4 linked regions of the Oryctolagus cuniculus genome follow. The protein of the gene in region 1 purifies or fractionates together with the protein of each later gene. This does not show direct contact. Links are inferred from orthologs where the notes say so. Each region holds a gene or a part of one and is shown in the gene's direction. Other genes may lie near its edges. The genes, in order: SUCLG2, SDHA, HSCB and SUCLG1.

What was found.
Region 2: the proteins of SUCLG2 (region 1) and SDHA fractionate together in Homo sapiens (co-fractionation; 3 studies listed by BioGRID, with this or other methods). This does not show direct contact. The link is inferred for Oryctolagus cuniculus from reciprocal best matches to the Homo sapiens genes SUCLG2 and SDHA.
Region 3: the proteins of SUCLG2 (region 1) and HSCB purify together in Homo sapiens (affinity purification with mass spectrometry; 3 studies listed by BioGRID and IntAct, with this or other methods). This does not show direct contact. The link is inferred for Oryctolagus cuniculus from reciprocal best matches to the Homo sapiens genes SUCLG2 and HSCB.
Region 4: the proteins of SUCLG2 (region 1) and SUCLG1 fractionate together in Homo sapiens (co-fractionation; 6 studies listed by BioGRID and IntAct, counting the BioPlex papers as one, with this or other methods). This does not show direct contact. The link is inferred for Oryctolagus cuniculus from reciprocal best matches to the Homo sapiens genes SUCLG2 and SUCLG1.

Annotation. Positions count from the first base shown.
Region 1 is NC_091441.1:81,882,488-81,890,038, forward strand, and holds the start of SUCLG2 (succinate--CoA ligase [GDP-forming] subunit beta, mitochondrial), read left to right. Parts: upstream 1-2,595; 5' UTR 2,596-2,676; coding exon 2,677-2,760; intron 2,761-7,551. UniProt on the Homo sapiens protein: GTP-specific succinyl-CoA synthetase functions in the citric acid cycle (TCA), coupling the hydrolysis of succinyl-CoA to the synthesis of GTP and thus represents the only step of substrate-level phosphorylation in the TCA.
Region 2 is NC_091445.1:97,557,106-97,564,609, reverse strand, and holds the start of SDHA (succinate dehydrogenase [ubiquinone] flavoprotein subunit, mitochondrial), read left to right. Parts: upstream 1-2,550; 5' UTR 2,551-2,554; coding exon 2,555-2,716; intron 2,717-7,495; coding exon 7,496-7,504. UniProt on the Homo sapiens protein: Flavoprotein (FP) subunit of succinate dehydrogenase (SDH) that is involved in complex II of the mitochondrial electron transport chain and is responsible for transferring electrons from succinate to ubiquinone (coenzyme Q).
Region 3 is NC_091452.1:22,187,570-22,195,041, forward strand, and holds the end of HSCB (iron-sulfur cluster co-chaperone protein HscB), read left to right. Parts: intron 1-1,480; exon of another isoform or gene 1,481-1,514; coding exon of another isoform or gene 1,515-1,570; exon of another isoform or gene 1,571-1,604; intron 1,605-2,214; coding exon 2,215-2,262; intron 2,263-5,337; coding exon 5,338-5,429; 3' UTR 5,430-5,474; downstream 5,475-7,472.
Region 4 is NC_091433.1:118,193,962-118,200,869, forward strand, and holds the end of SUCLG1 (succinate--CoA ligase [ADP/GDP-forming] subunit alpha, mitochondrial), read left to right. Parts: intron 1-4,569; coding exon 4,570-4,758; intron 4,759-5,771; coding exon 5,772-5,798; 3' UTR 5,799-6,017; downstream 6,018-6,908. UniProt on the Homo sapiens protein: Succinyl-CoA synthetase functions in the citric acid cycle (TCA), coupling the hydrolysis of succinyl-CoA to the synthesis of either ATP or GTP and thus represents the only step of substrate-level phosphorylation in the TCA.

The DNA of each region.
Region 1 (7,551 bases):
ACTCAACGACATACCCAAAGGCAGCCGAGTGTACACAGAAGGAAAGAGCACAGTTTGGCCACTGAGTAAACAGCTCTTGAAACAGTGAGAAAAAGAATAAAGGAATGGGGTGAAGGTTCAGCTTTTCTCAGAGGAGAAGAGCAACTAGTAAATGCGGAATGCAGAGTTAGGTGCCATTTTGCAATCATCATAGTAATACATGACTCAAACAGTAACCACTGAGGAATGCTAAATTTACTGGGTAAAATTTTGACTAGGAAGGGGCTATAATCTGTCCATCTGTCTGATCTAGAAGGTGTTCATACTGAACTCTTAAACATTTATTGGAGGAAAGATAGAAAGTAAGCCAGCATGTCCATCTCCCCCCATTACCCCCCCCCCCCCATCTGCTGGTTCACTCTCCGAATGTCTGAAATGGGCAGGGTTGGCTGGAGCCAAAGCCACAAGTTGGGAACTTAATCCAGGTCTCCTTTGTGGGTGGCAGGGAGCAAATTACTTGAGCCATCACTGCTGCCTTCCAGGGTCTCTGTTAGTAGGATTTTGAAGTCAGGAGCAGGGAATCAAACTCGGGAACCCCAATATGGAAGCTGGCATCTCAAAGATTTATTTATTTTTATTTGAAAGGCAGAATTACACAGAGGAAGAAAGAGAGTCAAAGAGAGGGAGAGAGATTGATTCATCTTGCATCTTCTAGTTCACTCTTCAAATGGCTGCAATGGCCAGGGCTGGGCCAGGCTGAAGCCGGGGGCCAGGAGCTGCATCCAGGTCTCCCAAGTGGGTAGCAGGGGCCCAAGCACTTGGGACACATTCCATTGCTTTTCCCAGTGACATCAGCAGGGAGCTCAATAGGAAGCGGAATAGGAAGTGGAAGAGCCAGGACTCCAACTGGCACCCCAGGGGATGCCGGTGTCACAGATGGTGGCCCAACCCACTACGCTACAAAGTTGGCCCTAGCATCTTCACCACTAGGCCAAACACCTGCTCCAATACATCTAAAATTACGCCTCTATATTGAGAACAGAAAATGAGTGGATACAGGGTATTTGGCCATTTGGGGTAATATTGTGACTTTTTCTGGTAAATCTGAAATTACATAAAAATAAAAATGTGAGAAGCAGTGGGAAGAAAACTTTTATTACATTGTATCTTTTCTCACCAGTATATACTCAGAAATGAGCAAGGTTAAAAAAATTCAATCAGTGCTTAAGGGATGGGGCTGGAGTTGGTGCTGTGGTGGGGCAGGTAAGGCAGTGCTGGCGTCCCATATGGGAGTGGAGTTCCAGCTGCTCCACTTCTGATCCAGCTCTCTGCTATGGCTTGGGAAAGCAGTAGAAGATGGCCCAAGTACTTGGGCCCTTGCAACCGCATGGGAGACCCAGAAGATTCTCCTGGATTTGGACCGGTACAGCTACAGCCAGTTGCGGCCATCTGGGGAGTGGACCTGCAGATAGAAGGTCTCTCTGCCTCTGCCTCTCTCTCTCTCTGCCATTCAACTAAGTCAATCAATCAATTTTTTTTTAAGATTTACTTTTTATTTATTTAAAGACAGAGTTACAGAAAGAGGGAGAGACAGAAGGAAAGGTCTTCCATCTGCTAGTTCACTCCTCAGATGGCCGCAATGGCTGGAGCTGCGCTGATCCGAAGGCGGAAGCCAGGAGCTTCTTCCGGGTCTCCCACGCGAATGTAGGGGCCCAAGGACTTGGGCCATCTTCTACTGCTATCCCAGGCCATAGCAGAGAGCTGGATTGGAACGGGAGCAGCCGGGTCTCGAACCGGTGCCCATTTGGGATGCCGGCGCTGCAGGCCAGGGCGTTAACCCACTGCGCCACAGCGCCGGCCCAATAAACAGATCTTAAAAAAAAAAATCAGGGATAAGCTAGCCAAATAGGTCTAAAAATAAAATAAATTAAAAGGGGGGCTTCTGAATTTGGGTCTTATACCTACCCTTTATTAGATTTCAGACTAGCTGCCTTCTGCGACTCAGTTTCCCCTTGTGCAACCCGAGATTTTACCTATGTAACCACTTAAACGTGGCGACGAAGACTAAATGAGTTCGTATTTGTGAAGGGCTTGGCACACACTCAGCATGTTGGCTGCGGTCATTTTTGTTACACGTAAAGCGCTTAGCATTCGGCGAAGTCCGAATCAACCTCTGCTCTCAGTCAGTAATTTCCGGCCTTAACACGCGTCGACAGCTTTGCACTATCTTAGCTTAGGATAAAAAAAGGAGTAGAGAGCACCACTCACCTCTCCAAACTCACTGCACCGCTCAGATGGCGAACCCCCCCCCCCCCACCTGTCTCTTTCCTGCTCCAAGGCCCAGCTCAAGCCCCAGGGACCCAGGGCTGGAACAGCGCCAGTGTCCTTACAGCGCTCCTGGCCACAAACAATTCGCTCCTTTGTCCTTGTCTGGCGACAGCGTTTAATTCCAAGCCTCAAGAGCACAGGGCTCTCAAGGCTAGGGAGAGCGCAGGTAGAAGCCCGCCAGGTCCCCGACGGCTGGCAGGGCGCTGCAGGGCGCGGCGAGCCTCATTGCCCCTGAGGCGCGCGCGCAGCGGGGTCCCGGGGGCCGCCCCGGCGCAGGGGGCCGGCCGGGCCCGCCTCCTCCCGCCCCTGCGTCTCCGCCTCCCTGCCCGCGCTCAGCCCTGCTCGCCCGCGCCGGGTTTCCTGTTTAAGATGGCGTCCCCCGTGGCAGCCCAGGCCGGGAAACTTCTGCGACGCCTAGCGCTGCGGCCCCGGCTCCTGGCCCCCAGGTCCCAGGTGAGCGCGGCCCGGCGACAGGTGCCGTGGGTAGCGGCGCCCGCCAGGGCTCCCCTCGTGCTGTGCTTCCCCCGCTGGCCCGTTCGGGCCCGGCACTTCGGGTGTGCGGCGCCCCGGGGAGTAAAAGGGACCCCGGCCCCCGGCCCCCTGGCCTCGGCTCGGGTGTGGGGCTGCAGGGCGGACGGCAGTCCCTGCCACAACCTCCCCGAGTGTGGCCGCTTCTCTCCGGAGTGGCTGACGCAGGTGGCTTCCCTTCTGGAGGTGACGGCTTCTGGCACGCTCCCAGGCGCTGGATACAAGTTTAGGAAAAGTTCCTCCGCCTGGGTTTTGGAGCGCTAGGGTTTCGTTTTCGGCTCTGCGTGGGAACCGTCTCAGCTCCGCCGCGCCCGTGGGAGACCCGTGCAGCCGCTCCATGTGGGTGCCTCGCCTCCCGCTCGGAGCTTGCAGCGGGGCAAATTTTCAGGATGGCCGAGTCGGGGGAAAAGTATGCAACAAGGAGTGAAATGGAAGGCGTGTCCGCCCCCAGCTTTCAGAGGAAAATCAGTCCTGTCAGCGAAAGGCTTTGGTGGTCTCCTTACTTATGGAGAATGGAACAAGGAGGGCGGGGGTGGGCGCTGCAGGGTGAACTTGGCCTTCAGTGGGTTTTACCTTCTGCAGAGGGCATGCATCATATTAGCGAGAAGGGCTTCGTGGGCACTTTGGAGTTGGTAATGACTCAGAGAAATCGCTGGATCCCTCAACGCCTTGATGTCTGTAGGTCACCTCCCTCCCCTTGAAAAAAAAAAAAAAAAGGACATTCTGGGGGCTCAGCCGAGGCAGAACGACCTTGTCCATTTCCCCATTTTTAATTGGCAAATTATCACTCATGCAATTTTAATCAGGATATGCGTAGTATAGCTTTAAAGAAAAATTAAAAAGTAGCACCTAATGATTTTTGAGTTACTCTAAAGCTTGGGTTAATTATGACATCTGTGCGATTCTTTTTTTTCCTTCCCTCTCATTTCCTGACTTACCATTTCTCTGTTATTGTTAATGTAAATTTAAAAGGTGCTAATCCTTATTACTGTAATGTCCTTAATAGGCACTTGACAGTATGGTGGGGTAGCAAAAGGAATGCAGGTTTTGTCTAATTAAAATCACTAATAACTGTTTAATAGAGTAAGGAGAGTAGCTCCAGGTGCTCAAGTCCTATTAATTATTTGAATGTTACAAAAAAAAAAAAAAAAAAAAAAAACACAAGAACTAAAGTGCTAACTATCAGCATAGAACTGAATTGATGAGGAAGAGAGAGCCCAGGGCAGTAGGAACTGGAGAAGGTAATCATTGTGCAGAGAAACCTAAAATGCAGAATGTTTAGCTTCCGTGTATTTCTTCCCTAGCTAAGCAATGAGACCCTAAACTCAACACTCAAGAGAGAGTGGTTGGGCAGACACGTCCTTGGTTTATCTAGAAGACTGGATGAAAAACTTGGTTATCTTTCTCTGCTGATGACTTTGGTTTGCATTCCTGTGCATGGTTTGCATTCCTGTAAACACAAGGCTTAGGAGATGAGAATGGTTTTCTAAAGATAGGAACTGTACGCAGTGTCCAAGAACTGGAAATGGGAATTAGTGAGTATCTGGTCCAACCACGTCACTTCCTGGGTGTCAGACGTAAGGCCTGTGTGTTCAAGGTTACAGAGCTTCTGTGGGAGAGCAGATTCCAGAGTGAAGTTTATTTGTGAGTTTCCATTGCAGCTGACTGTTGCCTGGTGAGCGTAGGTCTCTTAGGAAAATGGGTTTTGCCAACATCGAAGTTAATCTGTATAACCAGCAGTGACCATAGAACCTCCAAGTCACGAGCACACTGTTGCTTTCTTTCTTCATGTACATCTATGAATTGACAATGAAAATAGATTAGGTATTGCTCGTTTGGGTGTAAGGAACTCTTCTCAAATTCTTGGGTGCTTCTTAATCTCTGCTCTGTGTAAGTCTGATTTGATATTGGGCCTGCCTGGCCCCTTGTCCATAGCAGACATTACCCTTGAACATGGCCCACTTTCCCTGGGAAACTGAGCACTGAGCATCCTCACCACGTGTCTCAGAAATCTGTCTGCTCTTGGCCCAGACCTACTTTCTATCAGGACTTGTGAAAAGCCGTTGCATATACAGAGATAGAAGACCCAGGTTCTGCCTTGAGAAATAGCTAATTGGCCTCACAGAGATACACATAGGATGACACTTGGTTTATTCCCTCCCAGTGGTCACATGGATGCATACCACATGTTCCTGATGTGTAATGTTATGATGGTGCTTCTTGCCTTTCAGCTTCCGCTCTTCTCTGTCTTGACAGCTATATTTTTAAAGGATTCACCTTAATCATTTTTTATTTTTACACACACACACACACACACACACATATATATTTTTTTTTACTCAGCCCATGCCATCTGACAGAACTGTTCCAGGTCCTGAGATTTGGAGGTGGTGAAAGAGTTAGGCAGCCTTTGAGTGTTCATTTGTTTATCTGCTGGTTCACTCCCTAAATGCCCACAATGGCGAGGGCTAGGCCAGGCTGAAGCTGGGAGCCAGGAGCTCAGTCTGGGTCTCTGAGGTGGTGGCGGGAACCCAACCACTTGGGCCATCGTGTGCTATTTCCCAGGATCCGCATTAGCAGGAACTGGACCTCAGGAGCCAGAGGCAGAACTTGAACCAGGTTCATGTGATGATTTAACGGGGTAGGGGAGAGCAAAATGACTCCAGCCAGTGACAGGCCGTGAAGTGAGTTGTTACATACTGCAGGGTGAGTGCATAGGGGAACTGAACTTGACAGAGTGGTGTTTTTGGTTTTGTTAAATTTTTAAATTAAAATATGATAGCACAAATGCTAAAAAAATATGCATATTGTAGGTGAGCGGCTGAATGATTCTTGTGAACCAAACATACCCCAGCAATGAAAGCCAGGTCATGAAAATAATCATTGAACAGCAACCTGGAGGCCCCTGGTGTTCGATCCCTTCACTATCTCTGCCTCCCAAAGGATAACCCATCCCGGAATTATACCATACACTGGTTTTGTTGTTGTTGTTGTGTTTTTTTTTTTTTTTTTTTTTTTACATTGTCTATGTGGAATTAAACATTATACATAGACCTGCACAATATTATTCAATAGTATATTTATGAGTTCCTACATATGACCCTTTTTTGACATTTGAGTTAGGGCCTGAGTGAGAAAAGCAGCCAGCCAGGTGAGAGTTAGGGAGAGAGTGTATTAGACACAGCAGAGAGCAGGTGCGAAGGCACTGAGGTAGAAATGAGCTCAGGATGTCTGGACACTTAGAGGGAAAGTGGCAGAGGATGAGGTCTGAGAGGTGGACAGAGGCCAAATCATGTGGCGACTTGCAGGGCTCTGGTAAGGAGTTTTTTTTTTTTTTTTTTTTTTTTTTTACTTTTTTGACAGGCAGAGTGGACAGTGAGAGAGAGAGACAGAGAGAAAGGTCTTCCTTTGCCGTTGGTTCACCCTCCAATGGCCGCCGCGGCCGGCGCACCGCGCTGATCCGATGGCAGGAGCCAGGTGCTTCTCCTGGTCTCCCATGGGGTGCAGGGCCCAAGCACTTGGGCCATCCTCCACTGCACTCCCGGGCCACAGCAGAGAGCTGGCGTGGAAGAGGGGCAACCGGGACAGAATCCGGTGCCCCGACCGGGACTAGAACCCGGTGTGCTGGTGCCGCAAGGCGGAGGATTAGCCTAGTGAGCTGCGGCGCCAGCCTATCTGGTAAGGAATTTTTAAGGGTTTGTTATTATTTAACACTTATTTATTTATTTGAAATTCAAAGTTACAGAGAGATTGGGAGAGACAGAGACAGATCTTCCATCCACTGATTTATTTCCTACATGGCCGCAATGGCCAGGGCTGGGCTGAGCCAGGCCAAAGCCTGGAGCCAAGAGCTTCTTCCAGTTCTCCCAAGTGGGTGGCAGAGGCCCAAGCACTTGAACCATCTACTGCTGCTTTTCCCAAGCCATTAGCAGGGAGCTGGATTGAAAGTGGAGCAGCCAGGACACAAACGGTCCATATGGAATGCCAGCATTGCAGGCAGCAGCTTTACCTGCTATGCCATGATGCTGGCCAGAGGAGTCTTTAAGGGTTTAGAGTAGTTAAGTGAGTTGCCCAAAATTATACAGTTAGTGAAAGAGCAGCTAGGTCTTAATCCTACTCTTGATCTTAGCCAAAAGGCCAAGAAGTGATAGATTATAATCCTGGCCCTGGCTGCCAAAGCCCAGATATTTAATTACTATCCTGTAGGTACTCCCTGTTATACATCTGGGCTAGGCTGGCTTTGGGATGTGTAGCAGAGTGATGTTCAGTGAACACTGCGGTGAAAGCTCCAAGTCTTCCCAAAGACACGGATCCTGGAAGACAAGGGCCATGTTGCCGTATCCAAATAAGCCGCCAGTTGAACTGGGTGCTGTGATACTTTGCCATGTTACAGAACATGGCCCCACCACAGTGGGTCAGTCTTTGGGGGAAATCGTGGCTGGGGCGCTGTAATTCCCAGCACAGTGCTGCTGCCCTTTCTGAGGGTTCTGGGTGAAATTCACCACGCTCTGCTGGCAAAGGCGTGGGCCTCGTGGGAGGCGCTCGCTCCCAGGCCCCCAGCTTGAGAAGTGCTTTTGTGTGGTTCCCTCGGACACCCAGAGCTTCTGTCCGGGAACTTAAGAGAACACTGGGGATTGAAAGGGGAAACTGCTTAAACCCATGCCCCATGCCCCTGTCGTCGTGTCCTTCAGAAAGAATCCCCCCTTCCTTAATTTG
Region 2 (7,504 bases), on another chromosome or scaffold:
TGAACCGAAAGTAAAAGGAGGAGCCGAGAAGTGGCGTATGCTTCTGGGCGGTGTTGACTAACCTGGGGTCACTTCAACTGAGGACAAGGACAAGGAAAGGGGCGTGGGAGGGGGTTCTGTGCTCACCCTCACAGAACTAAACAGCACACAAAACACCAAGGGGCCTATTTGCCGAAATCAAGGGGGGACCTCGCCAAGTCTGACACGCTCTGTCACCTTGGGCGCCAGATGTTGCTGTGGATTCGTTCTGAGGAGGAGCGTGGTGGGGGCAAGAGGCACGGAGTCACCACACAGACCCCTGGAGTCCGGTGAAAGCAGGCCAGAGGCAAGCAGCCTGCAGGCTCGTTTATTTCAGTTGCTGCAGCAGATTAAATAGCCAAGGCGGCCAATCCGGTCAAAGGGGCAGTTTATGCCCTAACCAATCACAGCCTGTTGCCAGGTGGGTTTCAAAGCCATTGGTGAGTAACTGCTGGCATGGCCTTCTCTCATCCCACCACGGTTGTTGTGGTAAACTTTACATTTCAACTTGACTGAGCCACAAATGCTGACATTTGCTAAACATGTCAGGCTGTGTTTGTGAGGGCATTCCTGGATCAGACTAGCATTGAATCCTCCAAACAATTCCTCACAATAAATCAAACATTCCAAGTGTATATATATGCACAGTGTGTGCACATACATACATACACGGCATCTACACATACATGCACGCCGTACACATGTAAACGAGAACACTTCGAAAAGGTCATGGAAAACGTTTGGTGCAAACATTTTGAAATCAGTCCATGCACAGCTTTTCATCACACATATTTTCCATGAACTCTCTCAACTGCCTCTGTAAATACACTCATATATTCTATGGGTTGTCTCTCTGGAGAACCCTAATACACTTCCAAATGTATCTATAATCAACTCAACAATGGGCTCACACTGCTCATATTGATACGCTGTGAAGAATGAGCTACACATCGGTAGGAGCCAGACAAGGATAAGGTCTTCCCAGCAGAGAATGTGAGGGAGGCAGGACCAAGTGGGGACGCTGTGGACACCACAAGGGAGGAGGGCCGAGTGGGGACGCCAGGGACACCACGCGAGGGAGGCGGGACCGAGTGGGGACGCCGGGGACACCACGCGAGGGAGGCGGGACAGAGCGGGGACGCCGGGGACACCACGCGAGGGAGGCGGGACCGAGTGGGGACGCCGGGGACACCACGCGAGGGAGGAGGGCTGAGTGGGGACGCCGTGGACACCACGCGAGGGAGGCGGGACCGAGCGGGGACGCCGGGGACACCATCAGTGGCGCATCCAGGGCTGTGGCCTCCTGCGTGGGGAAGACAGGGACAGCGCTGGGGACTTTCCGTGCTTACACGGGGACAGTGACTGCAGAAGACCACAGAGAGCCTGCTGCAGGTGCGGAGTGCCCTCCAGACCCGGGCTGGGCACTCACACAGCAGCCACGAGAGCTTTCAGCCTGCTTCACGAGCCACCACCACAAACACCCGCTTACTAAACAGTTACTCACGGGTCACATACGAAACGAGAAACTCAAGTTTTGTGACAATTTTAACAGCTTTGCAATAAACACTTAATATCTAAATTGACAAAATTATGATAGACAATAATGATAGATGCAAAAAACATGGCTCAGAAGTTGATACTGGTGGAGTATGTGGCAATCACAGGCTCTAACAATTAGGCAGGTACCTAATTTAGAAAGTACTCAACCTGCAGGACTCCCTAGGAGGCACAGTCGGCCTGCGTGAGCTCGAACGGGTGGCGCGGGCTGTTCCCCACACACCTCCCAGACGCCTGCGCTCTGCTTGCTGATAACGCAGTGCAAACAGCTACCGCACTCCATGGTTTACCAACAGAAAAAGTGTTCGTGCGGGGCGGGTGAGCTCCTTCTTCCTATCTTGTCTGCGGTGGCCGTGTCCCTGTACCTTCCCTCCGCACCCACGAAGCCCACCGCCGGCGCAGACGGCCCAGGGACGCCCCCAGGAAAGTAAGCGCCACGCACAGTTTCTTTGGCCTTACTTACTAACAGCAGAAATAAAACAGGCATTGTTGTAAATTTAACAAGAATTAAGTTATTTTCCCCAAAATAATGCAAAACATATTACTAATCCAATGAAAACGCAGGCACCACAATTATTTGAGAAAAGACTTCAACTATCTTACATGAACGCGCATATTAGGAAAACCAGAACCTTCCAGTTGTAGACTCGGAGTCGCCGAGGGACCCACACAGAGGCTCCCGCGCGGAGCCGCCCCAGGGTCCTGCACCTGCGGCCGCGAACCTGGGAGTCGCGGCGCCCAGCACAGGCCGGACGGCGCAGGGTCCCCACGCCGCAGCGGCTCGCTCCTCACCACCGCTCAGCCCTGCCAGCCCGGCTTTTAAAGAAATACCGCTCAAGCCCGCCCTGACCAGAGCCGCACCCACCTGCGCTGCGGGCGCCCAGACCTCCTGGCCCCCGGACCTCCTGGCCCCCTCAGCGCCGCCGGCCCCCGGCCAGTGCGCAGGCGCAGGCTGCCACCCGCCGATCCCGGAGGCGACATGTGCGCAGGCGCGGAACTTCCCGTCGTCCCCGCCCCGGATGTGGCGTTTGCGCAGACGCGTCCTGCGCGGGGGCTGGCGGGACAGCGTTGGGCCGTCATGGCTGGGGTCCGAGTGGTGTCGCGGCTGCTGTTGGCGCGGCGTTTGGCGCTGACCCGGGCGGTGAGTCGGCGCCGGGGACCGGCAGGGCCGAGGCAGCGGTGGTGGGAGCGCGGCGCTCCCGAGCGGGGTGCAGTGGACGGCTTGTCCCGGTGAAGGTCACGACCCGTTAGAGGCCAAGGTCGCTGCTGCCCTGGCCCCTGGCTCTGGACGTGGCGGGCGGGGACCCCGGAGGCGAAGGCGCGGCTGCGGGGCGGACGTGATCCTACCCGGGCGCCGGAGAAGCGCGGGGCTCGCGCAGGAGCGGCCGCGGCTGCCGCCGCGCGTCTGTCCGGGCGCCCTCTCCGGCCGCGGCTCCGGCGTCTTGCTTGGCCGGACGCGGGTGCTTCGCTGCTTGTTCCCTCAGTTTCAGTGCGCTCGCCAGTGCCCCTGCGAGTCGCCAAGGCCCCTGCGGGGCTTGACAGGCCCGGGGCTCAGCCGTCGCGAGAGGGCCCGCAGGCGGTGACTGAATGCGCCCACCGGAGGGGGCCGGGGCCCCTTCTGCGGGCCGCAGTGGGTGTCCGGGGAAGCCGCGCTGGCCTGCCTTTCCTCCCGTCGCGGCGAGGCTGGAGCCGGCGGAACGCGCTCTCGTGCGGCTGGCTGCTTGCAAACCAGAGGGCCAGGAGGAGCAGCACGGAACCGCACGCAGGCCTGCGCGAAGAGGGGGTCTGGGCCTTCTCGTGAGGATGGCGCTCTTCCTCCAGAAATTGTGCCCTCAAGCAGTGTATTGCACTTAAGGTTGGCTCATTTCCTGAAGAACTGGAGTTTACCAAGGAAAATGAGAGTCAAATTAAAAGAGAAAAAAGGCAATTTTAGGATAGTTAGCTGAGAATTGACTATAAAGTCGATGTTGGGGCCGGTGGTGTGGCCTAGCGGTAAAGCCGCCGGCATCCCATATGGGCGCCTGTTGGAGTCCGGCTGCTGCTCTTCCGATCCAGCTCTGCTGTGGCCTGGGAAAGCAGTGGAGGATGGGCCAGGTCCGTGGGCCCCTGCACCTGTGCCTGGAGGAGGCTCCTGGCTTCGGACCGGCCCAGCTGGGGAGTGAACCAGTGGGTGGAAGACCTCTCTGCCGTTCAAATAAATACATATTTTTTTAAAAGTAGGTGTTGAGGATAATTTCAGAAAAATGAATAGGTAATTTATCTCCTTTTTATCAGTTTTGTGTTTTCAAGCCATTCTGTCATTATGGCTGCTTTCAAGTTACTAATTTTTTGCCTTTCTTTTAACCGTTCTGAAGCAATTTATTCCAAGAGGAAAGTAAAACGATGGACCTGAAATATTTAATTGCTTGCTTCCAATGAAGTGTTTCAAAACTCTTAGGATGAACACCCAAAAAACTGTCCTAGGATAAGCTAACTTCTTTTCTTAAATGGATTGATCTGGGGCCAACGTTGTGGTACAGAGGGTAAAGTCACAGCCTTCAACACTTGACATCCCACCTGGGCGCTGGTTTGTGTCCCGACTGCTACACTTCAGATCCAGTCCCTGCTAATGGTCTGGTACAAACAGCAGATAGCCCAAGTGCTTAGGCCCCTGCTACCCACATGGGAGACCTGGAAGAGGCTCCTGGCTCCTGGCTTCATCCTGGCCCAGTGCCTGCCTTTGCAACCATCTGGGGAATGAACCAGCAGGTAGAAGATCCCTCTCTGTATAACTCTGACTCTCAGATAAATCTTTTTTTTAATGTATTGATCTGAATACATTTTAATGGTGTATCTGGAATTATTTAGGTCTGTATAGGAATAGCCTTTGGTTTTGCTTTTTGGATCATTATATAAATGATATTCAGTTCTGTATTCTACATATGTCTTTCCTGGTTCATTTGAAAAGTGGCTTGGTTGTGGTGTTAACCTGGATTTTAGTCTTAGTTTGGAGTATCTCAGAGGCTTTCCCCAAGGGTCCTTAGGTAGTGGGGAAACTACGAGATGCTGAGCCACCAGGCTGACTCTGACCTTAAGGTTCTGAATGGGTTAGTGGAGTTCTGTGAGGTGACCTTTGACTCCCGTGGTTCATGACTCACAGCTATGCCCAGGACAATGTGCACTGTATTTTAATCATCCTTCACTAAAAAATTAACATTTAAATACATAATGAAAATAATTACACAGTTTTTAAAAAGACTTATTTATTTATTTATTTGAAAGGCAGAGAGAGAGAGAGAGAGAGAGAGGTCTTCCATCCACTGGTTCACTCCCTAAATGGCCACAGTGGCTGGAGCTGGGCCGATCTGAAGCCAGGAGCCTGGAGCTTCTTCCAGGTCTCCCACGTGGGTGCAGGGGCTCTGCTGCTGCTGCTGTCTTAGGCCATGGCAGAAGCTGGACCAGAAGTGGAGCAGCCCGGACTTGAGTGGCACCCATAGGGGATGCGGGCACTGCTGGCGGCTTTACCCACTACACCACAGCGCTGGTCCCAGTTACAGTTTCTAAAAAGCAATAAGAGGAGGCCAGCGCCGCGGCTCACTAGGCTAATCCTCCACCTTGCGGCACCGGCATACCGCGTTCTAGTCCCGGTCGGGGCGCCGAATTCTGTCCCGGTTGCCCCTCTTCCAGGCCAGCTCTCTGCTGTGGCCAAGGAGTGCAGTGGAGGATGGCCCAAGTGCTTGGGCCCTGCACCCCACGGGAGACCAGGATGAGTACCTGGCTCCTGCCATCAGATCAGCGCGGTGCGCTGGCCGCAGCGCGCCGGCTGTGGCGGCCATTGGAGGGTGAACCAACGGCAAAGGAAGACCTTTCTCTCTGTCTCTCTCTCACTGTCCACTCTGCCTGTCAAAAAAGAAGGCAATAAGAGGGCCTTGTAGGTATAAAGAAGTGGGCTGCTCCCCACCCACTAGTGGGAGTAGTTCTGAATTGCTTATAATTTTGGCCATGCTATTTACCTGCAGTCTCTAGCTGAATGTGGGTGTATTTTTTGTCAGTTGAGACATCAATTCTTGTTTGGTAAAACACTTATTCCACCTACTCCCTGTTCCTGTGCCCTCCCAATAGTTATGCAACCATTTTTTAAAAAATTTATTTATTTGACAGAGTTACAGAGAAGAGAGAGATCTTCCATCCACTGGTTCATTCCACAAGTAGTGGAGTGAAACGGCCAGGGTGAAGCCAGGCAGAAGCCAGGAGCTAGGAACTTCTGGGTTTCCCACCTGGGTAGCAGGACTTGGGCCATCGTCCATGCTTGTCCCAGGCTATCAGCAAAGAGCTGGGTTGGAAGTGGAGCAGCTGGGACATGAACCGCCACCCATATGGGTGATGCAGACGGTCGCTTTACCTGTTGAACCACGATGCTGGCCCCATACAACCATTTTTAGGTCCTCTGTTGGCTGCGTTTGTAATTGTAAGGATTGTGCTTACGAATTGGCTTCCTGTTCATGGTTATGGATGTATTAAGGGAAGGCTCCCTACCTTGCTAGGTTGAGGCTGGGCTGTTAACATCTCTACTCTTGTCATTTTTATCTCCCGTCTTCCTAATTCAGGCATCTGAACTATTTTTTTTTTTTTTTTTTAAGATTTATTTGTAAAACAGAGTGACAGAGGGAGGGAGAGAGATCTTGCACTCATCTGTTGGTTCACTGTCCAGATAGTTGCAATAGCCAGGGCTGGGCCAGGCTGAAGCCAGGAGCCAAGGACTCCATCCGGATCTCCCAAGTGGGTGGCAGAAAATCAAGAACTCAAGCTTCCCAGGCACTCAGATGTGGAATACAGCTGTCACAAGCCTCGACTTGGCCTTCTGTGCTGCTTGTCTGCCCTCGTCATCTGAACTTTTGTGCTGTTAAACAAGAAAACAAGATATAACTAAAAGAAATACTTAGGTCCAAGTATTTCTTTTAGTTATATCTTAGCTAGATTTCCTTGTTCTTTTTCATGTAACTTTATTAGAAAATGTTTGATAATCTCTCCACAAAAAGTTTAATTTAACAAGTGGCACGAACTGGTCTTTATTTAGGCAGACGTTGGGCTCTCCTGGTCCAGCATTATGGTGTTGCAGGTAAAGCTGCCACCTACAGTGTCAGCAACCCATGTGGGCTCCAGTTTGTGTCTTAGCTGCTCTACTTCGGAATCCAGCTCCCTGCTAATGGCCTGGGAAAAGCAGCAGAAGATGGCCCAAGTGCTTGGCACACTGCCACCCATGTTAGAGACCCGGGTGAAGCTTCTGACTCAGCCTGGCCCAGCTCAGGCTGCTGGTGGCCATCTGGGGGAATAAATCAGCACATGGAAGACATTGTCTCTCCCTCTCCCCCTCCTCCTTCCTCCCTCCCATTCCCTCTCCCCCTCTCCCTCCTTCTCCCTCTCCCCTCTCCCTCCTTCTCCCTCTCCTCCCTCCCTCTCTCTCTGTAATTCTGACTTTCAGATAAATGAGTAAGTCTTAAGAAAAAAAAGATACTACCAAGAAGTGTGCCTTTTTCATTTCATTTCTGAGTTATTGAGTACTCAGTCTGGAAACAAGCTCCACCCAGAAAACAGCTTTTCCTAGAGTGCCCAGTCAGGGTACAGAGGAGAGTCTGGGGCTGAGACCTGGCCCCTTGTGTCTGCCAGTTGGATACATGAAAAGGGTAACAGGTTTTTGTTTTTGTTTTTTGTTTTTTGTTATTATTACTAATTTGTTTGAAAGGCAGAGAGATCTCCCATCCAGTGGTTCTCTCCCTAAATGCCCTCAGTAGTTGGTTCTGGGCCGAGGTGCACGTTAGCAGGAAGTGGAACTGGGAGCAGAGCTAGGACTCTGATATGGGATGTGGGTGTCCCAGGGTGATGATCTAGAAGGGGAACTGCAGTTACTATTTCTTCATGACACTAGCACTCTGTGTTTCAGCAGCGGCCG
Region 3 (7,472 bases), on another chromosome or scaffold:
TCTAAGTGAATGCTGCGTGTTTCAGATCTGGGAGCGATCATTACTTCCTCAGAGAATACTTTGTTGACCTCTGTCCATCCCTTTTGGGAATGGTTGTAGGTACTGATCACAGTTCTAACTTTGCTGGTCTATGTGACATTATTTGATCACCACTAGTTTCCCCGATTTATAGATGGAAGCTCTGAAAAGAGAAACATGTCTGCTTTTCGCTTCTCTCACACCCTCTGCTCATAGAATAGTACGTGAAGTATAGTAGGAACTCAGTATGTATTAAATGAGTTAATTAATGAACATGAAAAGAGATAAAACGGAAGTGGTGGTGAGGGACTGTCAGCTGGACGTGAGGGCTGGGTGGGGCAGGGCGAGGAGCAGTGTGCAGGCAGAAGGCCCCATCGACTCTGCTCTGAGAGACGGCCTCCAGAAACATCAGGGGGTGGTGGGCTGGGGTTCAGTCCCAGTAGTGCTACTGATTTTTTATGTGACTTGAGCAAATAACTTCACCCCTCTAGACCTCATGTTTCCCACCTGTGAAAGGGGGACAATTTGGGGCCAGCACTGTGGCACAGTGGGTTAAAACCCTGGCCTGAAGCACCAGCATCCCAGAGTGAGCCAGCAGATGGAAGACCTCTCTCTCTGTCTCTACCTTTGTCTGTAACTCTGTCTTTCAAATAAATAAAATAAATCTTTAAATTAAAAAAAAAAAAGGACAATTTGTCATGGTTGTTGCAAGGATTCAATTAAATGAGTGAAACATGAAACACTTAGCCTGGCCCAGTCACGACGTTTGACTTTGAGCAGATCACCAACCATCACTTTGGATTAATTCCTAAATGCTGTCCCCTCCAGGTGCGCGTAAGGCCCAGGCAAAGTGAATGCACAGGGCACAGAGTTAGTTTTGGGCTCAGCCTGCAGAGCCTCCAGGCTCCTAGTGCTCTTTCATTGACACGGCATTGCCACCTGAGAGGCTCTTCTCAAACCCTGGGCAAGGACAGGTGACTTGGATGCTGTTCCTGGCTGCCCACTCACTACCCATGTGCCCATGGGGCAGATTCGCAGACAGGGAAAAAGAGAGAGAGAATGCTTCCATCCACTGGTTCATTCCCCAAATAGCTGCAACAGCGGGAGCTGGATCAGGCTGAAACTGAGAGCCGAGAAATCCAACCTGGACTCCATCCTGGTCTCCAGCCATGCAGGTGGCAGGGGCCCAAACACTAGGGCCATCTTCCTCTGCTCCCCAGGCATAGTAGCAGGGAGGGAGCAGCCGGAATCCAACCAGCGCTCACACGGGACTCCCGCGTCACAGATGCTGTATCATAATGCCAGTCCCATAGAATAGATTTCAAAGTGCTTTGAAAGAAGGCAGTAAATAAGTGATTGATGCTATTTACAATGGAAAACACACTTTCTGTAAAGTGAGGAAACATCAGAAAAATAAGATTCTTCTCTCTCATCTCATTTGCCATCTTCTCTTTTAACACAGTATGACATGGATGTGTTCCTTTTCCTATAATTAGCAAGTGGTTGCCTAAAACACTTGGTAATAGCCTGGCTGATAGGTGGTCCCCACTGAATGCTGGAAGACTCAGACTGTGGAGAACATCAAGGTATATCCTTGTCTTTTTTTTTTTCTTTTTAATGATTCTATAGTCATTTTATGAGCATTGGTGATTTCCTTTGGACCTGGCAGGGGTAGAAAAACAGTGTAATGAGGATTGCCCACTGGGTGCTGTAGCACAACAGGTTAAAGCCACAGCCCGCAGTGCCAGTATCATATGGGTGCTGGTTCAAGTCCCAGCTGCTCCACTTCCAATTCAGCTCCCTGTTAATGTGCCTGGGAGGGAAGCAGAGGACGAGCCAGGTCCCTGGGCTCCTACATCCATATCAGAGACCTGGAAGAGGCTCCTGGCTCCTGGCTTTGGCCAGGGAGTGAACCAGCAGATGGAAGACATCTCTCTCTCTCTTTCTGTTGTCTTTCCTCTTTTTTTAAATAAATCTTTTAAAAAAAAAAAGAAGAAAGAAAAAAAAAAAGAGGGTCATGCAAGCTACACTAAATAGTGCCTACTGTCATGGTATATGTACAACAAAGGTTATGAAACCTTAACTTTGAATCCAAGCTCCCTGCTTTCTGTGCAAATCAGCATGATTCCAAAGTGTTATCTTCAAACTGTGAGTCTGTTTTAATAAAAGAACTAAGGTAATGGTTTTCTCTTTCAGCTAAACAGAAAGAACTTACTGACAATGTGGGCAAAGCTTTTGAACAAGGTATTTTCTTCGGTTGCTGACTTTATATATATGTAAAGAAATCATAAGCATTGAGGCAAAAAGCATTCATTCACTAAATAGCTTTTATATACTCTTCCTATAATGGATATAGGGAGAGAAGCAAAATATTTATTAATCTTTATTTTTTATTTTTATTTTTTTATTTTTATTTTTTAAAAAATTTTTTGACAGGCGGAGTTAGAAAGAAAGACAGAGAGAAAGGTCTTCCTTTTTTCCATTGGTTCGCCCCCCCAAAAGGGTGCTATGGCCGGCACACTGCGCCGATCCGAAGCCAGGAGCCAAGTGCTTCCTCCTGGTCTCCTGTGCAGGTTCAGGTCCCAAGCACTTGGGCCATCCTCCACTGCCTTCCCGGGTGACAACAGAGAACTGGACTGGAAGGGGAGCAACCGGGACAGAATACGGCGCCCCAACCGGGACTAGAACCCGGGGTGCCGGCGCCACAGGTGGAGGATTAGCCAAGTGAGCCGCGGCACCAGCCAATATTTATTAATCTACATTTCTACCTTTAAGAGTTGATAGTCTTGCTCCAGTGGCATAGTCAGTTAGCACTTGGTACTTGTAAGAAGTAATAGTCTTGCTGGAGAAACAAACTGTATACCAGAATCAGTGCTATGCCAGTTAAACATACAGGAGAAAGTGCTTCTATTCTACTTGTACGAGAAGATAAGGTGAGTTACGTAGAGTAAAATACTTAAAAGTATTGAGAGAAGTACACTCACCTAGAACTTTGTATTCTACAAAATTATCCTTCAAAATAAAAGAGAAATAGATTTTTCAGAAAAACATTGATGGAAGTAAAAACTAATTTTCCTTTTTTTTAATTTTTGGCTTATTTTATTTATTCAAAAGTCAGAGAAAGAAATAGAACACCTATCCGTTGCTTCACTCCCTAAATGCCAGTAACAGCCAGGAGCCAGGAACTTAACCTGGTCTCCCAGATGGGTGGCAGAGACTCGAGTGCTTGAGCCATCACCTGCTGCCTCCCAAGGTGTACATTGGCAGGAAGAAGTTGGAATTGGAAGTAGAGACAGGACTCAAACCTAGGCACTCCAATATAGGATGTTGACATTCTAACCAGTATCTTAACCACCCCTCTGATTCTTAATTGAACTAACAGATAACAGTTTGTTCAAAATAGTAATAGCAACAGTATGCTTAGGTAGGTTTATGCAGAAATGAAATGAAGGACACCTCTGATACAAGGGGGATGGAAAGTATAGGATTCACTACCATGAAGCAGTATAACGTTACTCAGACATATACTTGGAACATTTGTCAGTGTACATCTTGCTGACTATAGGGCAATAACTAAAAATGGTCTTAAAAAGTGTAACTGATATGCTGAGAGAGAATGGAATCATAAAATGTTCGCTGATGGGGGCTTATGTTGCAGCACAGCAGGTTAAGCCTCTGCTTGAGGCACTGGCATCCCACATCTGAGGGCCACTTTGCATCCCAGCTACTCCACTCTGACCCAGTTCTCTGCATTTGGGAAGAAAGCAACAGATGGCCCTGCCATCCACATGGGAGACCCAGATGGAGCTCCTGGCTCCTGGCTTCAGCCTGGTCCAGCTCCGGCTGTTGTAGCTACTTGGGGAGTGAACCAGGAAATGGAAATCTTTCTCTATTTCTCCCCTGGTCTTTCTCTGTCACGCTGCCCTTCAAATAAATAAATAAATCTTTAGAAAACAATGTTAAATGGAAACTTTAAAAGGTAGAAAGAGTGGAAGGCAAAAATAGGAACAACGAATAAGAGCAGCAATTAGGAAACAGTAACAAATATGGTAGATTTTAATCTAGCTATAGCAAGAATCGCTTTGAGTGTCAGCTTAATGTACCAGTTAAAGGACAGAGATTGGGGTGAGCATTTGGTGCAACAGTTAAACCACCACCTGGGATGCCCCACATCCCAAATCAGAGTGCCTGGGTTTGAGTCCCAGGTCTGATCCCAATTCTAGCTTTCTGCTAATACACACTCTGGGAGACAGAGATGATGGTTCAAATAATTGAGTCCCTGCCACTATGTGGGAGACCCTGATTGAGTTCCAGGTTCTTGGCCATTAGCAGGAAGCTGGAATCAAGTACAGCCAGGACTCAAATGGAAGCACTGATACAGGCTACAGGCATCCCAAGCAGCATCTTAACTGCTGCACTAAGTGCTCGCCCCTGATCCAGAACATTCTTTGCTGTGGGAGGCTGTCCTGTGCACTGTAGATGTCAGCACCACTTCCCCAGTTGCAGCAACCAAAAGCATCTCCAAACACTGCCAGACACCCCCTTCAGGGCAGAATCACTTGTTGAGAGGCATCATTCCTACAGCCTGGAAGCCTCTGAGGGCAGCTCGTGCTTCGGCAGGAGGCATAGAGGAAGCACTCTGGGGGTCCACATCCTTTTCATTGTTATTCCTCTACATGTGTTAGGGGAAAACTTTTTTTTTCCAAGATTTACTTTATTGATTTGAAAGACAAAGCTACAGAAAGAAAGAGAGAGATCTTTATCTGCTGGTTCACTCCTCAAATGGCAGCAACAGCCAGGGCTGAGCCAGGCCATATCCAGGAGCCAGGGACTCCATCCGGGCCTCCCACAGGGATGGCAGGAGCCATCCTCCACCGTCTTCTTAGGCACATTAGCCAGGATCTGGATTGGAAGTAGAGCAGCCAGGACTCCAACCGTCACTCATATAGGATACCCACATCACAGGCGTCACTCATATAGGATACCCACATCACAGGCGGTGGCTTAATCTACTCGCCACAAGGCTGGCCCCAGGGGGAAAACTTTTAAAATACAACCCATTGGTTACTTGGCCCCGTCTTGAAGAGAATCAGCTTTTCTCTTCTCTCATTTATCTGAATTCTGTAAACAACCATAATCTTCCCCCTTTTGGTTAATCCCTTTGAGCAATCTAGATGTTCTCCCTCTCTGTTGCTCGGATTTATTTACTGAGTAATTGATGCACCCTCGAGCCAGTGCTTAGCTTTGATCAGACTGCCTTGGTGGCCAGCTCTGGTTCTTGAAATGAAACCTTACATCAGTATCTCTTGTTTATTTCAGATGACTTTGAAAAGGCCAAGGAAATTTTAACAAAGATGAGATACTTTTCAAATGTTGAAGAAAAGCTCAAGTTAAAGAAGATTCCCCTCTAATTGTTGCTAATTTAAGGCTTTAAAAATAAAGTTCTTATATATTTCTTTTCTGGCTCCTGTTAATAATACAGTTTACCTGTTTATATGTTATTTTTTTTTTATTTATTTATTTTTTTTTTTTTTTTGAAAGGCAGAGTGGACAGTGAGAGAGAGAGAGACAGAGAGAAAGGTCTTCCTTTGCCGTTGGTTCACCCTCCAATGGCTGCCGCGGCCGGCGCACTGTGGCCGGCACACTGCGCCGATCCGATGGCAGGAGCCAGGTACTTATCCTGGTCTCCCATGGGGTGCAGGGCCCAAGCACTTGGGCCATCTTCCACTGCACTCCCTGGCCACAGCAGAGAGCTGGCCTGGAAGAGGGGCAACCGGGACAGAATCCGGTGCCCCGACCGGGACTAGAACCCGGTGTGCCGGCACCACAAGGCGGAGGATTAGCCTAGTGAGCCGCGGCGCCGGCCACCTGTTTATATCTTACTTAAACCTGTGGTTCAAGCATGAATGGATGGCAACATTTTTCACACCAGAGGAAAACAGCCTTGTCAGAGCTTGAGTGGCGGTTCTTCACCTGATGTTTGAGAACAGCTTGCCCCTGCCTAGGCCAGTAGATGGGGAGCTGGGAATGGGACTGAGCGGTCTTTTAAAGTAAGGAGCTGTGGGGGAACTGGGCAGGAATGGTTGGCATTTCTGCCAGGCCTGCACTGTAACTCTACCCCCTTTCCTGTCAATCAGTGCATCCACTTTCCCTTGATGCACCTGCATCTCATCTGGGACCAGGAAGAGGAGATGGCATGAAGCCCACGTGGAAGTTAAACTCCATGTGGAGGTGCCATGCAACCAACAGAAAGCTTGCAAACGCTAAATTTTACCCTGTTTGTTTATTCAATTAGGGCACCACCCCGACCTCATAAAGGAGATCATAATGGGAAGGGGGTGCCCCCTTTCACTCACAGGTGAATGTATACTCTCTTGAGCAAATCCTTCTGTCACTTGTGCACTGTGCTGTGCCTCTGCTTTGAATTATTACCTCTGTGGGGGCAGGAACCTGGAATAAAGATTAAGATACATGGGCCCATAATATAAGGAGGGATTCAGAAACATTTTCTCCGAAGGACCAGATAGTAAATATTTCAGACTTTGTCGTCATACGGCCTCTGTTATAACTAGTCACTGCTACTCCTGTAACACAAAAGCAACCGTGGACAATATGTAAGCAAGTAGACAGGGCTGTGTTCCAATCAAACTTTATTTATGAAACAGGTGGTGGGTCAGATGTGGCCGTGAGTTTGCCAACTACTGCCCAAGAACCACAACTTCTGTCTAATGGTGTGACCTTCACTTATATAAATAATCCTCTTTGTTACTGTGGCTTGGGACATTGTGTTTGATAACAAGCAAATCCATCTGATGGTGGCTTTGGCCTACATTGCAAACTGAAGATAACATGCCCAAGAATGAGCATAGTATTACACACCATGGGTTCTGCCCTACCTTGGTGAAAGGGGGGGGGGGGGCCTTAATTACTCTCTGGATAGTGGACACTCATCACTATTTCCATGTTCTTTTTTTCTTTTTAAAGATTTATTTAATTTTTACTTGAGAGAGTTACACAGAGAGGAGAAGCAGAAGAGAGAGTCTTCCATGCTCTGGTTCACTCCCCAGATGGCCGCAACGGCCAGAACTGTGCCAATCAGGAGCCAGGAGCTTCTTCCAGGTCTCCCACATGGGTGCAGGGGCCCAAGGACTTGGGCCATCCTCCACTGCTATCCCAGGCCACAGCAGAGAGCTGGATCAGAAGTGGAGCAGCCGCAACAGCAGAGAGCTGGATCGGAAGCGGAGCAGCCGGGACTAAAACCGACGCCTATATTGGATGCCGGCACTTCATGCCGGGGCGTTAACCCGCTGCACCACAGCACCAGCCCCTCCATGTTCTTCTAAATCAGCTCAAAGCAGCTTTTATTTCCCATTCTGGATCTTTGGAAATTCAGTTTAAGGTCTTGATCTATTTCCAGAAAGAAAAAAACAAAAATGTGGGGGAGGGGAGTCTGC
Region 4 (6,908 bases), on another chromosome or scaffold:
TTAATGTGTAGCCAGGTAGTGCTTGCCATATTGTTAGCACTCTTACCAAACTGCTTGCTGCTGTTGAATCTCCTTGCTCTCCTGATATGTTTTTGTAGAGGTCACTAGTGCCCTGGATTCATTTTTCATCTTCTCATTCTGTTAGTTCTTCTCTTGGTTTTCCTCCTCTATCCTTCCCGGGATGTTTTTTTATTTCTCTATTCTTTAAGTATGAATGATGATCTTATATAAACTGTGTCTTATTTCACGCAGTTTCCGGTGACAGGAACTTGAGAACTGTCTGGTTTCTCTCATCCTCTATTTCCACTTATTTACCAAGATCTGTCTCTGTGACCTTGGTGGTGTATCTAGATTTAAGGCTCCTTCTGCAAATCTTCCATCTACTCTGGGGGAGACCCTTACCTCATCAGGGCCTTCTTCCTAGTCTCCTCCCTGATATCACCACTGGTTTCCCCCATCCACCCCAGACTATCCTCCTTATGATCACCTGAATTATCACCTCTTCTGAAATACAGGCTTTGGTGCCATTTGTCCCTCTTTAAAACCAGACAGCGTTTCACGTTGCATGTCAGATAAAGGCCAGGGTTAGCATTGTAGTTCAGTCCCTGGCATAGCACCCAACCTTCTTTCTCAGGTCCAGGTCTCATCCCATCTCATATGCCAGTTTTCCTTTCCCCTTGCCTTTAATTGTTCTTCTGCGAGGCATGATTAATATTTGACTGTCACTCTAGGTTGTATTATGAATAGCAACTGGTATCCTTTTTCTTGGAGCTCAGTCCAGTTCTCTGATGCAGTAGGCATCAAATGTCAAATGAAAGGATAAAGTGTGTTGTTAGGAGTGAAATTTTATTAGATTCTCCTGCAATCACAAAAGTTGTGAAATTTGAAGTTTAACTAAAAACTTCTTCTTGGAAAAAAAATTAAGTTAATGTGAACTTTCACTATGTTAAAGTGAATTTTAAGTATATTTGGACCCAACTCTGAATCTTTTTGAATAGCTTACATTTATTGGGAAAACTAAACATAGAAATTTTATTTAATTTGGCACATGTTTTCCTATTCCTGGTTCATCCCAGTTGGACTAATTTTTTTTATAGTACAAGATTCTAGGTTCAGCAGTTCAGATTACATAGTATATAAAATACTTGGCATGATACCTGGCATGGAGCAGATACTCGATAGATGTTACCTGCTGCTACCACACTGTTACTGTTAATGATAGTAATTATTTGCAGAAGTTGTTTAATCTTTATTTTGACCTGTAGGGCAAGATTTTTTTGTCCTTTCTTCAGGAATAGGGAACTGGCACCGGAAGGCTAATGTCTTGCCAGTGGTAGGACGGCAGCACATGACCCAGGGGTGGGATTCATGCCAGAGCTCGCCTGACTTTGCCATTACATCGTGAAAGGATCAGGAGGCAGATTGCAGGGGTTCAGGACAGAGCCAGCAGTCCTTCCTGGGTGTATGTTCCGACTATCCTTACACTGTTCTGCCGATCTTTCTGCTTTTGGACTTTCAACTTATCATTATTTATATCCTGTTTTCAGGCTATACTTTCCCATAGTGTAATTATATTTTTTTCCATTTAAAAAACTGCCAATGATTCTTCTGCATCAGTGGAACAGAGCATAAATTTGTTTGACATGCTAGGCTTGTCATAATTTTGTTTCTTTGCAGCCACTCAAACATGAGATTCTCATATAATATGCAGAGGCCATGAGTGAAGGAATCAATGACTGTGAGGTCTTCTTTTTATTTCTAAACTGCAGATACTATAGTACATGCTGCACATACAGAAATGAATGAGAACATAATCCCCACGTTAACACTTTTTTTTTTTTTTTAAGATTTATTTATTTATTTATTTGAAAGGCAGAGTTACAGAGAGGCAGAGGCAAACAGAGAAAGAGAGAGGGGGGTCTCCTATCCACTGGTTCACTCCCCAAATGACCGCAACGGCCTGAGAGGTGCAGATCTGAAGCCAGAAGTCAGGAGCTTCCCCAGGTCCCATATGGGTGCAGGGGCTAAAGGACTTGGGCCACCTTCTACTGCTTTCCTAGGCCATATCTGAGAGCTGGATTGGGAGTAGAGCAGCTGGGACTCGAACCAATGCCTATATGGGATGCTGTCCTTGTAGGTGGTGGCTTTACCTGCTACACCACAGTGCTGGCACCCGCCATGTTAGTTTTGTAGGGGAACACATGGGAAATAGGTTACAGAGAGTTTACTGAATGTAATAGTGGAAACATGTAAAACGACAGCAAGATCACTAAAGAGATCAGATCATTAGCTATAAGGGCATTTGTGCAGAGTGTGGAGGAAGAGTCAGGAAAGGCTCATGGGGAAGAGGAAGCTTGAACTAGGTCTTAAAAAGTAAAAATTGTCTAGATATCCAGGAAAGTAGAAAAGATTCTCAGCAGAGGCACATACAGGTAGGGAAGTCTGGTTAATGGAAGATAAAAAGGAGAAAACAACAGTAGGAGACGAGGCTAGAGTAATCAGTGTCAGACCATGCAGCAGCCTGCATGAAATCAGAGCAGTGGAATCACACTAGGATCATTTACTGCTGTGTACCTGCAGTAAGAAAACAAAAAACCCTGATAAAAATTATTAATTTTATGAAGTCTTGACCATTAAGTCAGTATTTTGTGATGAGATGGGAAGTTAGGCTCTCTTGCCTTAAGAATTATAAGCTGAAGTAACTTAGATGCTTTTTTCATGGATACCAGTTTTGCTTGAAATAATGATGGCAGACAGAGTGGTTATTCAGACTTGGATGTTTGATAGAACTTTTCTAAGAAATGAATGATGTGAACCTGTCATATCAAGGAAAACAACTGATAATATTTGTTACCAATGATAAAATTTGAGGTGTCAAGTTTTGGAAAATTTGAATCTGCTACCCTGAACTCAGTTTTCTCCCAATTTAATGACTTTTCTAATTAGAGTTGACAGTGATACTGTTGGCTCTGGTTTGTTGATAGTGAATGATAAAATCTGTCAAGATTTGGAAGATCTACTCAATGAATTGATATTTTTCAGTTTGCCAGTGCATGTTACAAAATCATGGGTAAAATATCCAAAGTATAAGACCAATGGATTTCAAAGTAACAGAGGACAAGAAGTTATTGCCATGGGTTTCAGATTCCAACATTGCATCTAACCTTTGAGAAATTACCACTTGAAGAGGTTCATGTAGTATCAAGAAGAACATCCTCAGTTATCTGAATGGCAATTAAAATACTTATGTTTCTAGCTGTGTATCTGTATGAAATCAGATTTTCTTCTTATACTTCAGCCAAAATAAAATATAACAGATTGACTACAACAGCAGATATTCTTTGTTTTTATTAAATTAAACATTCAAAAGTTATAAAAGTAAGTTTTAAAATGCCACTCTTATTAAATAGTTTTAAGATGTTATCTGTAAATGAGTTAACAAATTTATAAAATTTGTTTTCTAATTTATAAAATTTAATTTCTAATATAGTAAATATCGGATATAATCTATGCATGAACAAAAGCTCCTTCAGATCCTTAGTAATCTTTATAAGTGTAAGGGATTCCCCAGACCAAATGATTTGAGAGCTGCTGATCTAGGGGAAGATGATAGTGCCTGAATCAAAGCTCTCACATTCTACACACTTTGTTCAGGTTCTGCCTTCTCCAGGCCTCTCTGCTTTACTTGTATTCATTATTACCTCTGGACTCCTATTACAATCATAGTATTAGCATTCATTGTGCAACTTCACAATAGATTCATATATTGCTTTTTGGTATCTCATAACTGATTAATAATATATACATATTTAACATTTCTTCAACTATATAATACTGAGCACAGAAATTCTTTTTTTCTCTATTTTTTGAAACTTCAGAATCTAGTACAGTGATATTTCTTTACAAAAAGGTTGTATATTACAGTTAATTTTGTTGACTAAAACCAAGAAATTCAGAGTAGGAAAGGCTCTCCATTAATCTCATTCAGCCATTTCTTTCCAAAGATGAGGAAGCAGAGATCTGCTTGTACCTTGTCCAAGGTCATGCAGCTTTAGTCAATAAATTTGAATCTGAGTCCTGGGTCTTTTCCTTATGCTTTTGTGCCTCATTTTTTTTTTTTTTTTTTAGCACATTTATTAAGGCTGAGCTAATAGTGAATAAAGACACAAAATTAGGTTGAAGTAAAATAATCAGATGTGTGTTAAGTAATTATTAATCCAAGTCTTATATCACATGTTTTCAGATTTGCTCTTTTGTTTTTCAAATGAAAGATTGACATGCTTGTAAAACGGATTGTGCCAGTGAAGCTGCAGTTTAATATTCACCAGATATAAAAGTTTCCTTAGGTTTGTTTTCCTGGGTTTGCGTGGGAGGTTGCAACATTCCAGGGGCAAATGCTGTAGGGGTTTCAGTCATAGTCTGATATTTGTTTTGTTTTGTTTTTTTTTTAGGATTCCTAGTTCAACCCATTTAACATTTACCATTTACCATTTACCAGCAGAGTCATGGGTTTGAGTTCCAGTTTTTATCAACTTCTTAAGAGTGTTTGAAATGCCACTTTATCTCCAGGGTCCAAATGCCAAGCCTGTAGTGTCCTTCATTGCTGGCTTAACTGCTCCTCCCGGCAGAAGAATGGGTCATGCAGGGGCAATTATTGCTGGAGGAAAAGGCGGAGCTAAAGAGAAGATCTCTGCCCTGCAGAGCGCAGGAGTTGTGGTCAGCATGTCTCCTGCACAGCTGGGAACTACCATCTACAAGGTAAGCTCTAACAGGGGCCCAAATGGCCAGTGTGGGCCCATACTGGGTCCCTGGAAACCGTCCCTGGAGTGATCTTTTAAGACTCTCCTTATTTTTATGATGGTTGAAGCCTTGACAAAAAAAAAAAAAAAAAAAAAATATGATCAAAACAACAACCCTGCTTCTAAAGCATTTTGAAAATAGGCACAGCTTGTTGTCCCAGAAGGAAACAATATTCAGTGAGAATTTTAAAATCCTGATTTGGTACAATCATCTTTGCTCTTATCTTAGGAATAATAAAATGGACTCCTTATTTTATTGAAACTTCTCATATTGTTTTGAACATACTGTGTGCCATGTGTTTGAAAGAAATCTAGGTGATTAGTAGTGTGTGAAGAAATATTTTATTTGAAAGTAGGGGAAAAGGAATGAAAAGCAAATGCTTAAATTCACATTGAAAATGTGTTACCATTTTAATCCAGTAAGGGGCAGTAGACATCTATACATTTTGTCTTGTTCTAATTGTTAAAGTCTAGAAAATTATGATTTTTGGTATTATTTCCTTAAACAATACTTGATTTAAGGTACATATTTGTTTTGAGGATTTTTAAGGTTCTTGGAATTTTGTTCAGATTCTAACTGAATCTGTATGTAGTTTTATTCTCTGAGAATGTAAGCAAACCTGTTTAGGGTTCATGTATACAGGTTTGCATAAGCACAGTGAGATTTAACAACTCCTAATAATGATATTGCAGGAAGAAAGTATTAATTAGAGCCTTCCACTCAGCTTCTGAGATTAGGAGACATAAAGTTGAAGCCCTGAGTCTAGCTTAGTTATATTCAAGTTGACACAGACTAATTTGAAAGCTGCTGTTTTGTCTTCAAGTACCCTTCTCCTGGTACATTTTACTTCTGTAATTTGGTTCAAAGAATCCTAAAGATAATAGATTTTAGAATCATTTTGACCATGAGTGTACTTTGGATCTTTTACCTTTTTATCTGCTCTCAATTCTCCCTCTTTTTTCTTTCTCAAGGAATTTGAAAAGAGGAAGATGCTATGAAAGAACAAACCAAAGTTTCTTGAAACTGTGGAATGAATCATGATAGACATGTGAACCAGCAGCAGTTTGCTTCTCTTGTCCACTGATTGTCAGCCTATGTGCCTGGGGTTGGTCTTTCATTACAATGGGAAGCCAAAGCAAGGTTTTGAATGTCCTAAATTGAGATGTTTTCACCTCATTGTATAACAGAGACAGCCAATAAATCTACCTTGATTTGAATATGGTTTTGGAAACTTGTTATTCTACTATGGGGAGAGTGGGAGATACAAAGGAGTGTGTGTGTGTGTGTGTGTGTGTGTGTTGGGGTGGGGGGGTCTCTGAATTACACACGAGAACATTGTAACTAAAACTTTTTTTAAAAAAGATTTATTTATTTACTTGAAAGGCAAAGTGACAGAGAGAGAGTGCGAGCTCTTCCATCTGTTGGTTCACTCCCCAAATGGCTGCAACAGCAAGATCTGGGCCAGGCCTAAGCCAGAAGCTACAAACTGCATCATCTTCCATGTCAATGACAGGGGCCCAAATACTTGGGAAATCTTCTGCTGCCTTCCCAGGCACATTATGGAAAGGAAGGAGGAATGGAAGCAGAGTATTTGGGACTCAAACCAGCACTCTGGTGGTGTCTCAAGTAGCAGCTTAACCTGCTGTACCACAACACCAGCCCCTATGACTAAAAGTTTCAAGAGAATGAAGCTGATACTTCACTATGGCATTTGTCTAATTATCTAGACAGAATGACCTTCGTTGTCTTGAATCAATTATATCATATATAATAATTTCCATTTTACAGGGTGCTTTGAAGGGTTAGAAATAAATGTGTAAATTTCTGACGCAGAAGAAGGTGAACTTAATTGTCATGCCTCCACCATCACTACGTCTATGGTTGTCATGTGTATTGCAGATAGAAGCTCTTGTGTTTTCAGTTGAGAAATGGGGAGTCTTCACTAATGCCGCACTTATCAGTGATTCTGTAAAGAGCTATCCCCTACCCTTTGCAGAGCCTACCTTCTTTGATTGAGCTTTTAAGATGTTCACTGAAAGATAGCAGGAAGACTATTGACTACCCTTATTTGTGTTTAAAAGGGAGCTTGTTAACACGAAGCAGTTCCA